Linked DNA regions of Canis lupus familiaris. The protein of the gene in region 1 purifies or fractionates together with the protein of each later gene. This does not show direct contact. Links are inferred from orthologs where the notes say so. Each region holds a gene or a part of one and is shown on either strand. Other genes may lie near its edges.

Region 1 (7,859 bases):
AAATGCTTCATTATGGCTGTCTCAGAGTTAAGCTGACTGCAGAAATACTATTATGATAAATGTCTGATACTTAAAAAAACTTTTACAGTTGCACATTTTTGCTATTATGTTCAAGAAAATACATAACTCATATTAGACCTGTGATGTCATGCATACTATTGTTTTATGATGAAGATGGTTTAAAAAAGAGCAATTTCCAAAAATAAATTTTCATATGGGCACATCCAAACTAATATTTAGTACTTTCGTTGAAAATTATACAGGAATTCACAACACTAAGTATAAAGTTTAATTCTTTCCCTGGGTAGTGACGATGACAATTATCCATTACTGAGCTCTCCTTATTTGTACTTAACATGCAGTATCGTAAATCCTCACAACAACTTTATGTGACAAGGTACTGTTATTTTTTAGGGACAGAACTGCTAGTCCTTAAAAAGTATAAGAAAAGTTAGTGCTGACCAGGCAGGTCTTGGTTATGACCTATTGAATAATCTGTGTGCCTGGGAAGTAAAGTCAAAACCTGTATTTCATTTTGTAGTAAGTACTTACTTAATTTTACATGTATTTATCAATAAAGTATCTGAGACTGGCATTCCTCTATTAGCATTTTTCTCTATAAGCTTTTCCTAAAAACAAACAACATACTAAAAACAACTTTAATCTCCCCCAAAGTCCCAGCTTTTACTACTTGTAGCGTATCTAATTCCCCGTCTCCACCTGAAGGGATTAATCGTTGAAGAAAACAAGTTTTATGATACTTCTCTATTATCAGTCAATTGAATTTCTCTGCCCTCAAAACATATCATAAAATAAAACTAAGATAATAATAGGGCAGAGAGGAGGGAGAAGAGATCTATGAGATGTCTCCTGTTACTAAAAAGGTTAATCTTTCCCAGCTGTTTTCTTTTAAAAAAACTTTTTTTTTTTTTTTTTAAATTACAGTAGAAAACACATAAAATGACATTTGCCCTCTTAACTTTAAAAAGTTTTTGGATCATTCCTGGGTGGCTTAGTGGCTGAGTGTCTGCCTTCAGCTCAGGCTGTGATCCCGGGGTCCTGGGATCGAGTCCCACATCGGGCTCCCCACAGAGGACCTACTTCTCCCTCTGCCTGTGTCTCTCATGAGTAAATAAATAATACAAATTAATTAATTTAAAAAAGGTTTTGGATCAGAAAAAAAAATCTGCTCACCGTAGAAAATTACAAAGCACAGAAAGGAATAAAGAAAATAAAAACATGTAAATTTAACCTCCACAAAATAACTTCTGTTAACAGTTGTATGCTCTTTAATTTCTATTACTTCTCAAGTTGCATTAGGGGAACCAGGTCTATATAATAAAAGGTAGTTTATGACAGCATTAACTTTTTTTATTTCAAATATTGTTTTAACCTCCATTTAACAAGTTTATTAGTTGGTTAATTCAAAAGACAAAAACGAATAAATGTGTAACTAGAAGAAAAAACAATACTGCTAAACCTTTAGACTTTTTTCTTCTCAAGCAGTGTTACCCTATGTAAGTGATTCGAAGTATCAATTTAAAAATTGTAATCTATAATTTAACAGAATCCAATCTTCCTGTTCTCACACAAAGTAAATGTAAATAGGGAAATTGCACAAATAATGGGGATTTCTTGTTTGTAATATAAAAAGAAACCACTTACCTGGTTTTCCTCATCAGGCGGCAACAACTTTTGGTTTCTTGAAATTGCCAGCATTTCTATAAGTTCTCTAAAAAAGAAAAACAAAAACATCTTTGCAAAATACAACAGAAGCTTTATTAACTGATCTCTACCTAACTGACTTGCTAGATTCATGGCACCCACAGCATGCTGAGTATTCAGAGCCCCTGCCCAGTGACCGTGCGCTTGGGCTCTCATCAGCTAAGCGGTACTCTCTCACCAAGACTCAGTTATGTCTGTTACCAGATCCAGTTATGCAAGTTTTACTTTACTAGTATAGTTAAATATATTAAATATCCATTTCATAAATACCAACGAAATATGACTGTCAACAGAAAAGAGTAATTTCCATAAAAACCTAAACTGAATACTTGGGAAAGACTCAACAGCTGCCTGCAAAGAACTGCAAAGTCATGAAAATTCAGCAAGTCTACCCTAAGACTGCTTGATAAGCATTTAAGTTTATTTACTTTTTTTTTTTTTAAAGTAATCTCTATGCCCAAGGTGGGGCTCAAATTCACAACCCATAGATCAAGTCGCATACTCTACTGCCTGAGCCAGTCAGGCACCCCTCATTTCACTTTAACGAAACACACTAGAAATTGGTGGACAAGGCATTATGGGTGGTTTATGCAAGAAAACCCCCTAAATTAAGGAGTAGATGAATCATTTTTTAAATGATTTTCTATGTGAACTGAAATTTTTAATTAACCAAACAGGTATCAACTAAGGGATTCTAATGTATAATAAAGTCCTATCTTTCTGGAATGCTTATTTACTAGACATGCCAATTTTCCTTTATGAAAACTAGTATAAAGAGGAGTATAAAATATGTATCAGGTAATATCCTGATACACTAGTTTCAAACTTGCTGACAGATGGGACTCCAGAAATTATGCAAGAGGTACAGATGCACAATTAGCAACAGGACACCACCAGTCAGCCCCAGTAAAGCCTGTACCTTCTCACTGGCCGCCAGACTATTTTCACCTTCATATTTCCATCTTCCTTACTGCCAGCCTCAAACTATTTTTCTGGATGGTGCCAACTGGACCCAACCTTCCCCACTTTGAGGTTCTCATACCATTATGCATGCACTAGCTAGCTAATTAATGAATAAAGTGGATATGGCAATGGAAAGTCTTCATTCACCCACTGATTAAACATTTAAGTTTCCACTGTGTGCCAGGCACTTTCTGGATGCCTAGCTTATGAAAGTGAACAAAGGAATTTAAATTATAATACAGAAGAGAAAAACCAAGAAAGCAGGTAAATCAAACCAGAGTTAGAAGAAGGGCTGGGAAGAAACTGAAGCAGTGTTAGAGTGTGTCAGTGAGTTGTCTGGCCACTCACACTGGTGGAGTCAGGGAGGGCTTCTATAAGTGAGAAAAGCCGGGTTCAGGGGCCCAAAGATGGGTTTGAGGAAGGGTGGCCAGGACACAGCAGTCAGTACCGAGGAGCAGGATACACAATGAGGACGGGTCTGGAGGGCAGGCGGGCCAGGCTGTGTGAGGGCCTCACAGGTCATGGTAAAGAATCAGCATTTCATTCCAGGTACAATGGAAAGCGACTGGATCATTTTAACTTTTTTAAAAAGATTTTTTTATTTTGAGAGAGAAAAAAAAAATGAAGGAGGGGGAGGCAGAGGAAGGAGCGGATTCAGGGCTCAATCCAGGACCCTGCACCCACCTGAGCCCAAGGTGGACGCCCCACTGACTGAGCAACCCAGGCGCCCCACTGATGCATCATTTTAAATGGAAATGACATGACCTGATTTATGTTTTTAAGCAATTGCTAAGCTACCTGGAAAATGGATTTTAAGAGGAGTAGAATGGAAATCAAGTTAAGTGGCTTCTGTAGACAAAGGATGGCATCTGCTTTGACTAGGTCCTAGCCGCTGGGACACAGTCATGGAAATAGGTGACAGCTATCTCTGAGTGCCGGGGTCCGGGGTGTCCCTGCAGGTCACCGAGCGCCCCCCAGGTCCCCCCTCCCCCATCACCGAGTGTCAGGTCCCGGAGTGTCCCTGCAGGTACCGAGCGCCCCCCCAGATCCCCAGTCCCCCCATCTCCGAGTGTCAGGTCCCGGGTGTCCCTGCAGGTACCGAGCGCCCTCCCAGGTCCCCCCTCCCCCCATCTCCCAGTGCCGGGGTCCCGGGGTGTCCCTGCAGGTCACTGAGCGCTCCCCCAGGTCCCCCCTCCCCCATCACCGAGTGTCAGGTCCCGGAGTGTCCCTGCAGGTACCGAGCGCCCCCCCACGTCCCCCCTCCCCCATCTCCCAGTGTCAGGTCCCGGGTGTCCCTGCAGGTCACCGAGCGCCCCCCCAGGTCCCCCCTCCCCCCATCTCCCAGTGTCAGGGTCCCGGGGTCACCGCCGCTATCAAGCGTCCCCCGGGGGCTGTGCGGGGGGAAGAGGCCGCGTCCGGGTCTCGTGGGGCTGCGACCTCGAGGCCACGACCCCGCCGCGGTCTCCGGAGCGCCGCCTCCCCGACTCCAGCCAGGCCGCCCGCCCGACGCCCCTACCTCGACAAGACCTCCAGGTCCTCCAGCGCAGACAGCAGCCGCTCCCGCGTGCTGTTCCCGCCCGCCGCGCCCGCGCCGCCCCCCGGCCGCTCCTTCTCCTTCTCCCCACCCGAGGCCGCCGCCATGCTGCTCGCGGGCCGGAAGCCGGAGACTGCGCAGACCCCGGCGCGCGGAGGCGGGCTCCGGAAGCGGAAGTGAGGGCCACCGAGGCGGGGCGGGGGGGGCGCGGAGCAGAGGCGGGGCCGCAGCGCCCCCTACGTGCCTGGCGGTGCACTGCGGGCGGCGGCGCTGTGCAGCCCTGGGAGCAGGCTCGGGGCGCTCAGGGCTCAAGCACCAATGGGAGGGGTTTTAAGCCTGTCGGGAAATTTGCATAACAACTTACATCTTGTATCAGTTTCTTTTTTCTTTTTTTAGGATTTTATTTACAGAGGGAGAAGCAGGCTGCCTGCAGGGAGCCCGATGTGGGACTCGAACCCGTGACCCGGGGTCACGACCTGGGCCGGAGGCAGGTGCTCCACCGCTGAGCTCCCCAGATGCCCCCTTCTATCAGTTTCTTTGTGAGATGGGCTGGTCTCAGTATTAACCGTCTTTAGTGTGCATCCCTACAGTGCTAGCCCCACCCTCCTGTTTGGCCTCTCCTAGGGGTTGTAAGCACCATAGGACAAGAGCCATCATCTGCCTCTTTTTCTTTATGGTTGTAAAACACACATAACCTAAAACGGACCGTGTTAACCATGGCTAAGTGTAGGGTCAGGGGCCTTAAGCATAGTCATGTGGTTATGCTACTTTCACCATCATCCATTACCTCTTTCCATCTTGCAGAACTGGGACTGTGTCCACTGAACAACAAGTCCCCCTTCCTTCCTGCCCCAGCCCCTGACAGCCACCGTTCTACCCTCTGTCTCCAAATTTTGACTACTCTAGGGACCTCATATAAATGAAATCATACAATATTCGTCTTTTGGGGACTGTGTCATTTGACTTAGTGTAATGTCTCCACTCCCATCCCTGTGTTAGCACGTGTCAGAATTTCCCTCCTTTTTAAGGCCGGACAATATTCCCTAACGTATAGCCATCGCATTGTGCTTATCCATTCATTCATCCGCACACATTGGGGTTGCTTCTACGGCTTCACAATCCATCTTTATAACCATCTATCTCCCAACAAAGTGTTTTGCTCACTGATCAAGATGCCTGTTGGAAGTGAATGAGTAAATATAGCAGGTAAGAGGTAGTGTATGAAAATGGTTTAAATAATCAATACAACACAGATTCCAAATGAAAGCCCAAACTCCGCCTCAACTCACTTTTCCTGGAGAGAGCAATGTAGTTGGAAACTCTCCCTATCAGGAAAACCCAAAGTTGCAACAGTACTGGGGATGCGGGTTCTGTATGGGGCCAAGCTGTGATTTTCAAAGATGAGATGGAGAGATGTCACCTACAGACAACAGCTTGGAGTGTCTCCTTCATTCTGTCATCCTGACCTCTGGCCTGTTCTCTTGGAGGTGCTTAGCCTGCTTCCTGCTGGGTACCCAGACTTGAGGATTTCCTCAGGGACTCATGCGAAAACAAAACAAAACCATTCATAGCAACTGCTATACAATCCAGAATGCTGATTTATTCATTTACAATAAAAAATATTAGTGCCAAGCACAATTTTCCTTGTGGACAAACTTATACAGGAAGACCAATTATCATCAGAATGTGGCTTGGTAAACCTGGATTATAACAAATGAATATAGATTTTTAAAAAAAAAATGCAACCATCAGGATTTTTTTTTTTTTTTTTTTTAACCATCAGGATTTGTATCCACATAGCATACGGATGTTTGTAGTAAAGAGATTGGAATATCTGTGTCCCCAGACCATGCAAGAGACCTGAGGACACCTTTTGTTTTCCAACCATTCCCTACTTCTGCTCTTGGCTAAACCCTTCTCTAAATATGGTCCATTCTCAGACAATGGAATACATTAGATTTAAGCTTCCTAATGACCCTTGTATTCCAAGCATACCTGCCAGCAGCTCTGGTCAGTGATTTCTTAAGTTTCTGAGGGGCTCAACTGTAGTCTGTGTTGGTTTTCTTCTCATAGGTTCATCTTGGGCATGATTCTGGTGCAGGGAGTGGGGAGATCCTATTAGTGTAGCTTCCACATACAATCAGTTAAAACCCTAATCACTTAAAAATGACCAATTATAGGTCCTACTTTGCAGGCATGGAGGGTTAGTAGATGGACAGTATATGTGTCTTGTGAATGCCAGACCTCTTCAGATTCATCACAAAGTCATATGCGTATTGAACGTTGTCCATAGACTGACAAGAAATAACATTTCCTACAGGCATACTCTATGGCAAACTGCAGATTCTGGTGTGATAAAGAAAATACGAATTATTTTATAACTGATAGGAATATCATATATATTTTTAATAGTTAATAAATAACTCAAGGTAACTCCGAATTTAGTAGTTTCCCAATCTATCGATTCAAAAGGGTAAGTACTTCCTTCTTGTGAAATTTTACGTATTTAACATGCCAGACACTGGTCTAAGCACTTAAAAAAAATGAACTCCATGAATTTTCACAACACCTTCTGGAGGTGAGTATTGTTATTATCTCTATGTTACAGATAACGAAGCTGAGGAGGCAGAGGAATTCAGAGACTTGCCCCAAATCATACAGCTGATAAGCGCCAAAGCTGGGATCTGAACAGAGTCTGGCTCCAAGGTCTGTGCTCTTAGCCACTGGTTATTTATCCTGTCTTCTCTCTTAATTTTTTTATTTTTATTTTTTATGAACTTTATTTAATAGTTCACGAAGTGGACAGTCTTCTTTTGCAGAACTACTGTCTCTGTTTTTAAAGAAAGAGATATCTTCATGCATCGAAAAGGGGTTGGGAACCTCTGGTCTAAAATACAAGCACTTTCTAATGCAAAGTTTGGGATTTGGAGTAAAAAGAAGTTTACAAACTTTTGGTAAGAGGTGGAATGGAAGCATACAGCAAGAAACTCCACTGGCCTGTCCCTAAGAGTAAGCAAAATAGGTGGCTACATGTATTATGTGCATTTTAAAATTATTTTTTTATTTTTACCGAGCAACATATGTAAAGATCAAAAAGTGAAATACTGCTCAAAAGCGTAGAAGAAACTATGAAGGATATCCAGCTCCCTACTGGCAGTTACGCTCGACATTCTTCACGGTTTCTCCTATGCTTTCCTTATTATTTATTTATTTATTTATTTATTTATTTATTTATAAAAGATTTTATTTATTTATTCATGAGAGACACAGAGAGGGAGAAGCAGGCTCCAAGCAGGGACCTGACGTGGGACTCGATTCCCGGTCTCCTGGATCACAACCCGGGCTATAGGTGGCACCAAACCCCTGAGCCACCCGGCCTGCCCTGTTTCCCTATTTTAAAGTAATTCGCATACATTCTATATCTTTTTTCCAACTCTTTTAGAAATCTCTTTCCTGTTGCGCTGAATAAGGATTTCATCTCTCTTCCATGCCCCATTCCCCTTCTTCTGTCCTCTCAATGCACAGAACCCAATTTTTTGTTAAATCAATAGTCAATTCTTTCCTTGCTACGCTATTATTTACATATAACTGTGTCAATGTGATTTATTTGAGATGCCTAACAGATATTTCCATAGAG
Region 2 (7,733 bases), on another chromosome or scaffold:
TCCTGACATATCTCTGTTAAAATGGAATAATACTAATCTTGTTAAAAGCAATAGACCTTCTCAAACTCTTGAAGGAATATGATATATGCAATTTAATTTTACCTTTTAAGGTATTGGACTTCCTGCATGGATAAACTTACCATTTGAATAAAGGGACCACAACTTGGATAATTTTTATTTTAGATTTGAAATATATTTGGTAATATTAACTATTGGTGTGCTCATTTATGCATAGAGACTCACTTATGAATGGGTAGAGCCACAGAGGGTAGAGACTTAACCAAAGTGCTCTTCTATAATCCTTGAACCTCCTGTATAGTTAAATTAACTTTTAAGTAGAATACCTTCTTTTCTTAAAATGATCTGTAGTTCCTGTGCCCTTTCAGAGGTATTAAATTAATTTTTACATTTTAAACAAGTATTTCCTTAGTTTTTTTGTTTTGTTTTTTAACTTTTCTGTCATCTGTTTCTACTACCTCAAACTGCAGCTTGGTTCTGATAGAACTTGAATTTTTCCTTGCAGTTATTGTGATAAAGTATGACTATTTTAAAAAGGTCTATACCATGTTCTTTGGTTAAAGATTTGCTTTATACTAGATTGTTGCAGTACCTTTTTCTGGTGAATTTTGTAGCAAAAATAAAGTGACAATTGTTAACAGCCATGACATTTAAAAAATTTATTACTTGTGCATCTAGTTGTTTGTTCATTCTAGAGCCAAAGTAAGGAGAACAATAAAAATTCTGTAAATCAGACTGCTACATAATTTCCAAAGCTCCCAAAAAAGTGACTTCAAATTTGATACATACACACTGAAGATTTATTTGGAAATGGCTACTGTCAAAGTTAGGCAAACTGCTGAAAAGGTGGTGGGGCAGGAGGGGGAGGTATTCTCATATCAATCAGCCTACTCAATATAGACCTACAAAGAATCTAGAGCACAAAATATTGTGTATTCTGATTACCAAAAATGACTGCCTTCTACCCTCCTGTGTTCTTCCCAGTGAAATCATCTCATTTTGTTTAGTGAAAGATGGTGGGGTTTATTCTGTTGTTTGGGGATTTGGAAATCAGTTATCATATGATACCTGTTTAACCACCCGACGGAGGAGGAGAAGGATGTCATGTGTGGTGTGTGTGAGTAATGAGTGGTGGAACACTCACTGAACCCACTTGGCCACAAAGGCAGATAAACCTATTGCAGTGTACCATTTGAAATTACCTGAACCTTGGACTACATGTGTGTACATTTAATATTAAGAATTGGCTTCTTTGGAGACCTATGTAATATAAATTGATATAGTGTGTTATAGTTTTTCAGCTGGGACAGCTGATGGCTTTGTCATGATTTTAGAATAAATTCCAAGTAAGGGAATTATGCTTTACATATTTTTTAGACAAATGAGTTTACACTATCTTCTATGCTATCCTAAAGCATTAAGACTATGAATTAAAAGAGCTTTAAAAGCTAATGCTTGAACCAAAAATTTTATTCAATGACATGTAAACTGTTTTCCAGTGTTAGTATTCCAAGGTGCTTAAAAGATGGCTTGGGACGTTAATGACAAAAGACATTTCAGGAAAGGACTTTGTGATTTCTCTCTGTTATTTGATCCTTATGCAGTATAAATCCACAATGACAAGTACTTTTTGCCCCAACTGGCTCAACTTCATAGTGTCTCAATAAAAATCTGCTTAAAATAGAGCATAAAAAAGTATTTGTACATGTAATATTCGATGGGAAAGAATATTGGTAAAAATAATTTTCAGATAACTTCATGATATTCTAAAACTTTGGCATTTGAAGAACTTGAAAGATAATCCAGAGAATCTAGGATTTGTTAGTCCAGACACGTTGAACTCATAATTTAGAAAGGTAAAGGATCGTGCTAATGTAATTGTATAAATTAATGAAGTGGATTCAGTTATTCCTTTCAGTTAGTCTTGGTTTGATAAAGGATTTAGGTTGATAGACCGTTCCAATAAATATTGAGCCACCTACTAAATGCCTGGCATTGTTCTTAAGTACTGGGAAAAACTGTTCAAAAAAGAAAGTACATGCTCGTTCTTAAGTTCACTACATTCGTACGGGGAGCTTACATTCTACTACTGCTTTTTAATCCCAGACCAATGGCAGGGAAAGTGAGGGAGTCATCCTCTGAGAATTCTGTGCTTTGAGTACAAGACGTCCTTGATTTCTGCCTCTAGTTAGCAAAGGCCATCCCGATTCATGAGGTGTGTTCTTGTATGCCCGAACGCACCCTAAATGTGTTAGGTTCGAGGAAGAGGGAGTCGCCGGCAGTCAGGTGTGCACGGTGCTGGTGACCACCGCGTGTGCACGTTCATTCCTGCACGCTCGCGGGGCGCACGGGGGACGGGAAGCGGCGGCGGCCCGCGGGGTCGGGATGCTGAGGCCGCCAGCGCCTCCCAGAGGGGCCACCTGCAGAGGTGCGATTGCTGTGGACATGACCGAGGAAAACTGAAGTAGAATCTTTTTAAGACAAAAGGTGAGACGCCGTTTATCAGTCCAAAGAACGCAGTCGTAGAGAAATTAGTTACTAAATCCTTCAGCAGGAAGAACACTTGTCAGAAGAGGACGTTTTGAACACTGCGTAGAGGGTGAGACGGAGGGCCTCGCTGCCTGGTCTGGGCCCTGGCGGTGCCGGCGCTCCTGGGGTCGCTCCCCCCGCCCCCCCGCCCGGTGCCCCTGGCGCTCCGGGGCGCTCTCCACCCGAGGCGGGGGGGCGGGGCGTGCTGCGTCGTGTCGCAGGTCCGTGACGCGAGCTCCGCCCCTGCGCGTCCCGCCGCCGTGTTTGAACGCTGCTCCCGGGGTGACAACGGCGGCGTCCGCTCGCTATGGAGCCGAGGCTGGTGAAGCCCCCCGGGCAGGATTTGGTGGTGGAGCGACTCAAAAGCCGCTACGGACTAGGGGGCAGCCGCCTGGCCGAGGTGAGGTCTCGCCCTTCCCCTCGGGCTGTCCCCGGGCCCGCGGGCTGGTTTGTGCAGGGGTAAAGCAAGCAGGCCGGCCGGCGGCTGCGCCCGGGGCCCGGAGCCCGGAGCCCGGAGCCCGGAGCCCGGAGACCGGAGCCCGGAGCCCGGGGCCGGGAGGGATGGGACCCCTGGGGCCGCCGCTCCCCCTCCGCCACAGCCCCGAGCCTGGGGCCGCCCTCCGCTCCGCCCCAGCAGGGTCAGGAACGGTAGCCGGAGGGGCAGCGCATGCTCCGCACCCTGGAGAAGCGGATTTTCCGTCAGAAAAAGCCCTTCACCCAGCACAGACCCTGGAAGGCGTGGGACGCCCCGGACGTGGTGGTAGGCCCCTTGTATTACAGTGACTTGTGCGGAGTTCAAAAAGCAATTTTAACTCCTCCAAAAACCTTCCTATTTTGAGGTAATTACCAACTTTAAGCTGCAAGGATCCTGTCAACAAGTCTTCCGAACCCTTGGTTTGGGCTCATCAGTCGTTCATACTTTGCCGCATCTGCGTTACTTCTCTTCCCGTCTCTGACGTGGCGTGCACACATTCCCCCTGAACTGATGGAGGGGACTTGCAGGCGCTGTGCACCCTCACCCCCGCATGGAAATTCTTAAGTGTATTTTCTGGGAATAGGGTGATTCTCACATATCCATAGCAATAAACTGAACAAACTGACCATTTGCACAGTAATATTTAACATAGAGTTAATATTCAGATTTCCGATTATCTCATTGATGTCCTTTGTAAACTTTGTTTCCCCGGTGCAGATAGAGTCCATCTGTATTTGGTTCTCTCCTGTTGCCTTTGTTCTGGCTCAGGTTCTAAGTCTCTGTCTTTATTTTTTTGAGATTTTATTTATGTATTCATGAGAGACAGAGAGGGGAGAGGCAGAGACACAGGCAGAGGGAGAAGCAGGCTCCATGCAGGGAGCCCCATGTGGGACTCGATCCCGGGACCCCAGGATCATGCCCTGCGCGGAAGGCGGACGCTCAACCGCTGAGCCCCCAGGCGTCCCTAAGTCTCTGTCTTTATGATGTATTTTTGAAGACTACAGGACAACTGTATATGGGACTGTCCCTCCGTCAGATTTTCTCGGATGCGTATACCTCAGGATTGTACATAGATACTGACTTTGTGCGTTTTTGGCAGGAGTGATGTGTAGGTTTCTCTTGTTCACTAGGAGGTATAACATTTCTATGTCCTGTTATTGGTGATACTAACTTTGACCGCTTGATTAAGATAGTATCTATTAGATTTGTCCATGCTAATTTTTGTAATTAATTCTTGTACTTAATACATAATTTGTGGGGAACTCTTTTGAGATTGTAGGTTGATTCTTAATATATAAATTAAATGTCTTTTTTGATTTTTTTTAGTATGATTTTTCAAATTTTGATCAGGCTAGGTGGAAGAGAAGATCGCTAATCTCTCCAGGTAAGCTGATCGAGTATTTTGTGTATTTGGGGGTTTTAACAAATTTAATTTGAGAAAAAACATTAAAAAAAATGTTTAGGCTTAACACTAAGTGCCAGATATCTTGTGATACTAGGCTTTTTTCATTCAGGTAATGAACTAATAGTCATCAAGATTTGGGGGGGTAAAGGTATGATATCTCTAAAATCAAATTGAGTGAATTTTTTTGGTGTTTCAGTTACAGTATTTTTGCCTTTAAAAATGTTAAAAATTAAACAGTATATTGGGGAAAGAAAACTAATTGCTATTTTTTTAAGGCACAAACTTTTCCAAGTTACAGGGGTAGTAATTGTTGCACCAGAAGAATTTTTCAAATGTACTTGATAAAGAGAATTATACTGTGAAATGGGGTCGGTTGGAACATTATATGGTAATCTGGAACTAACATATATAGCTAATTAACCTTTAGTCTTTTGATTTGTTGATACTTCTTCAGTGATGTTTTTACTAGTAAGTATTATCATTGAATTTTGAGGTCATTGCAGCAGAAACAGTAAGTTTATGAGATGGTAGATTAGGGAATTTCATTTTTTTCCAAGTTTATTTCTCTTTGAAATTTTGTAAACACTCTTCTGAAACATTCCTTCAGTATGAACAAACCCAGTTATTACTGAGTTTAGTATCTTAAAACATTTTTAAAATTTTTTTTAACTTTTATTTATTTATGATAGTCACAGAGAGAGAGAGAGAGAGAGAGAAAGAGAGAGGCAGAGACATAGGCAGAGGGAGAAGCAGGCTCCATGCACCGGGAGCCCGATGTGGGGGATTCGATCCCGGGTCTCCAGGATCGTGCCCTGGGCCAAAGGCAGGCGCCAAACCGCTGCGCCACCCAGGGATCCCTTAAAACATTTTTTAAATTGTATCTTAGTTTTGAAATTTGTCCTAAAATTTCCAACATTCTAAACTATAACTAAAAAGTATAGCTTGTTTAATTTCTGATGGGAAAAAGCATGTTAGACAAAAGGTGCATACATTTCAGTGACATGGATAGAACTAGAGCTGCTCAGTGAAATAAATGAGTTAGAGAAAGACATACCATATGATTTCACTTATAGGTGGAATTTAAGAAACAAAACATATGAACGAACATAGGGGAAGGGAATGAAAAATAAAATAAGATGAAATTGAGAGGGAGTCAAACCGTAAGAGATTCTTAACTCTAGGAAACAAACTTGAGGGTTGCTGGAGGGTAGGTAGGTAGGGGATAGGATAACTCGGTGGTGGGCATTAAGGAGGGCACTTGATGTCGTGAGCCCTGGGTGTTATATGCAACTGATGAATCAGTAAATCTACCTATGAAATTAATTTTAAAAAAGTCAGATAATTCCAGAAAAAAATTTTTTTTGATAAAATAGCAAACAATCCATGTTTATAAAATGACATAGGCAGAGGGTTCAAAATCAGAATCAAACAACTGAATGGCCCACAGAAAACTATTAAGTTGAAGAATACATAGGAGCCAGCTCCTGCAAGGTTAAGAGAAATTTTTTTAAATTTATTTTTTATTGGTGTTCAATTTACTAACATACAGAATAACCCCCAGTGCCCGTCACCCATTCACTCCCACCCCCCGCCCTCCTCCCCTTCTACCACCCCTAGTTTGTTTCCCAGAGTTAGCAGTCTTTACGTTCTGTCTCCCTTTCTGATATTTCCCACACATTTCTTCTCCCTTCCCTTATATTCCCTTTCACTATTATTTATATTCCCCAAATGAATGAGAACATATAATGTTTGTCCTTCTCCGACTGACTTACTTCACTCAGCATAATACCCTCCAGTTCCATCCACGTTGAAGCAAATGGTGGGTATTTGTCACTTCTAATAGCTGAGTAATATTCCATTGTATACATAAACCACATCTTCTTTATCCATTCATCTTTCGTTGGACACCGAGGCTCCTTCCACAGTTTGGCTATCGTGGCCATTGCTGCTATAAACATCGGGGTGCAGGTGTCCCGGCGTTTCATTGCATCTGTATCTTTGGGGTAAATCCCCAGCAGTGCAATTGCTGGGTCGTAGGGCAGGTCTATTTTTAACTCTTTAAGGAACCTCCACACAGTTTTCCAGAGTGGCTGCACCAGTTCACATTCCCACCAACAGTGTAAGAGGGTTCCCTTTTCTCCTGCATCCCCTCCAACATTTGTTGTTTCCTGCCTTGTTAATTTTCCCCATTCTCACCGGTGTGAGGTGGTATCTCATTGTGGTTTTGATTTGTATTTCCCTGATGGCAAGTGATGCAGAGCATTTTCTCATATGCATGTTGGCCATGTCTATGTCTTCCTCTGTGAGATTCCTCTTCATGTCTTTTGCCCATTTCATGATTGGATTGTTTGTTTCTTTGGTGTTGAGTTGAATAAGTTCTTTATAGATCTTGGAAACTAGCCCTTTATCTGATATGTCATTTGCAAATATCTTCTCCCATTTTGTAGGTTGTCTTTGAGTTTTGTTGACGGTTTCTTTTGCTGTGCAAAAGCTTCTTATCTTGATGAAGTCTCAGTAGTTCATTTTTGCTTTTGTTTCTTTTGCCTTCGTGGATGTATCTTGCAAGAAGTTACTGTGGCCGAGTTCAAAAAGGGTGTTGCCTGTGTTCTTCTCTACGTGTGTTCTTCTCTACGATTTTGATGGAATCTTGTCTCACATTTAGATCTTTCATCCATTTTGAGTTTATCTTTGTGTATGGTGAAAGAGAGTGGTCTAGTTTCATTCTTCTGCATGTGGATGTCCAATTTTCCCAGCACCATTTATTGAAGAGACTGTCTTTCTTCCAATGGATAGTCTTTCCTCCTTTATCGAATATTAGTTGACCATAAAGTTCAGGGTCCACTTCTGGGTTTCTATTCTGTTCCACTGATCTATGTGTCTGTTTTTGTGCCAGTACCACACTGTCTTGATGACCACAGCTTTGTAGTACAACCTGAAATCTGGCATTGTGATGCCCCCAGATATGGTTTTCTTTTTTAAAATTCCCCTGGCTATTCAGGGTCTTTTCTGATTCCACACATCTTAAAATAATTTGTTCTAACTCTCTGAAGAAAGTCCATGGTATTTTGATAGGGATTGCATTAAACGTGTATATTGCCCTGGGTAACATTGACATTTTCACAATATTAATTCTGCTAATCCATGAGCATGGAATATTTTTCCATCTCTTTGTGTCTTCCTCAGTTTCTTTCAGAAGTGTTCTATAGTTTTGAGGGTATAGATCCTTTACATCTTTGGTTAGGTTTATTCCTAGGTATCTTATGCTTTTGGGTGCAATTGTAAATGGGATTGACTCCTGAATTTCTC

The links.
Region 2: the proteins of MED4 (region 1) and CCDC138 purify together in Homo sapiens (affinity purification with mass spectrometry; 3 studies listed by BioGRID and IntAct, with this or other methods). This does not show direct contact. The link is inferred for Canis lupus familiaris from reciprocal best matches to the Homo sapiens genes MED4 and CCDC138.

The regions. Positions count from the first base shown.
Region 1 is NC_049243.1:3,359,781-3,367,639, reverse strand, and holds the start of MED4 (mediator of RNA polymerase II transcription subunit 4), read right to left. Parts: upstream 4,358-7,859; 5' UTR 4,330-4,357; coding exon 4,205-4,329; intron 1,733-4,204; coding exon 1,666-1,732; intron 1-1,665. UniProt on the Homo sapiens protein: Component of the Mediator complex, a coactivator involved in the regulated transcription of nearly all RNA polymerase II-dependent genes.
Region 2 is NC_049231.1:36,137,259-36,144,991, reverse strand, and holds the start of CCDC138 (coiled-coil domain-containing protein 138), read left to right. Parts: upstream 1-2,781; 5' UTR 2,782-2,854; coding exon 2,855-2,947; intron 2,948-3,184; exon of another isoform or gene 3,185-3,214; coding exon of another isoform or gene 3,215-3,307; intron 3,308-4,348; coding exon 4,349-4,406; intron 4,407-7,733.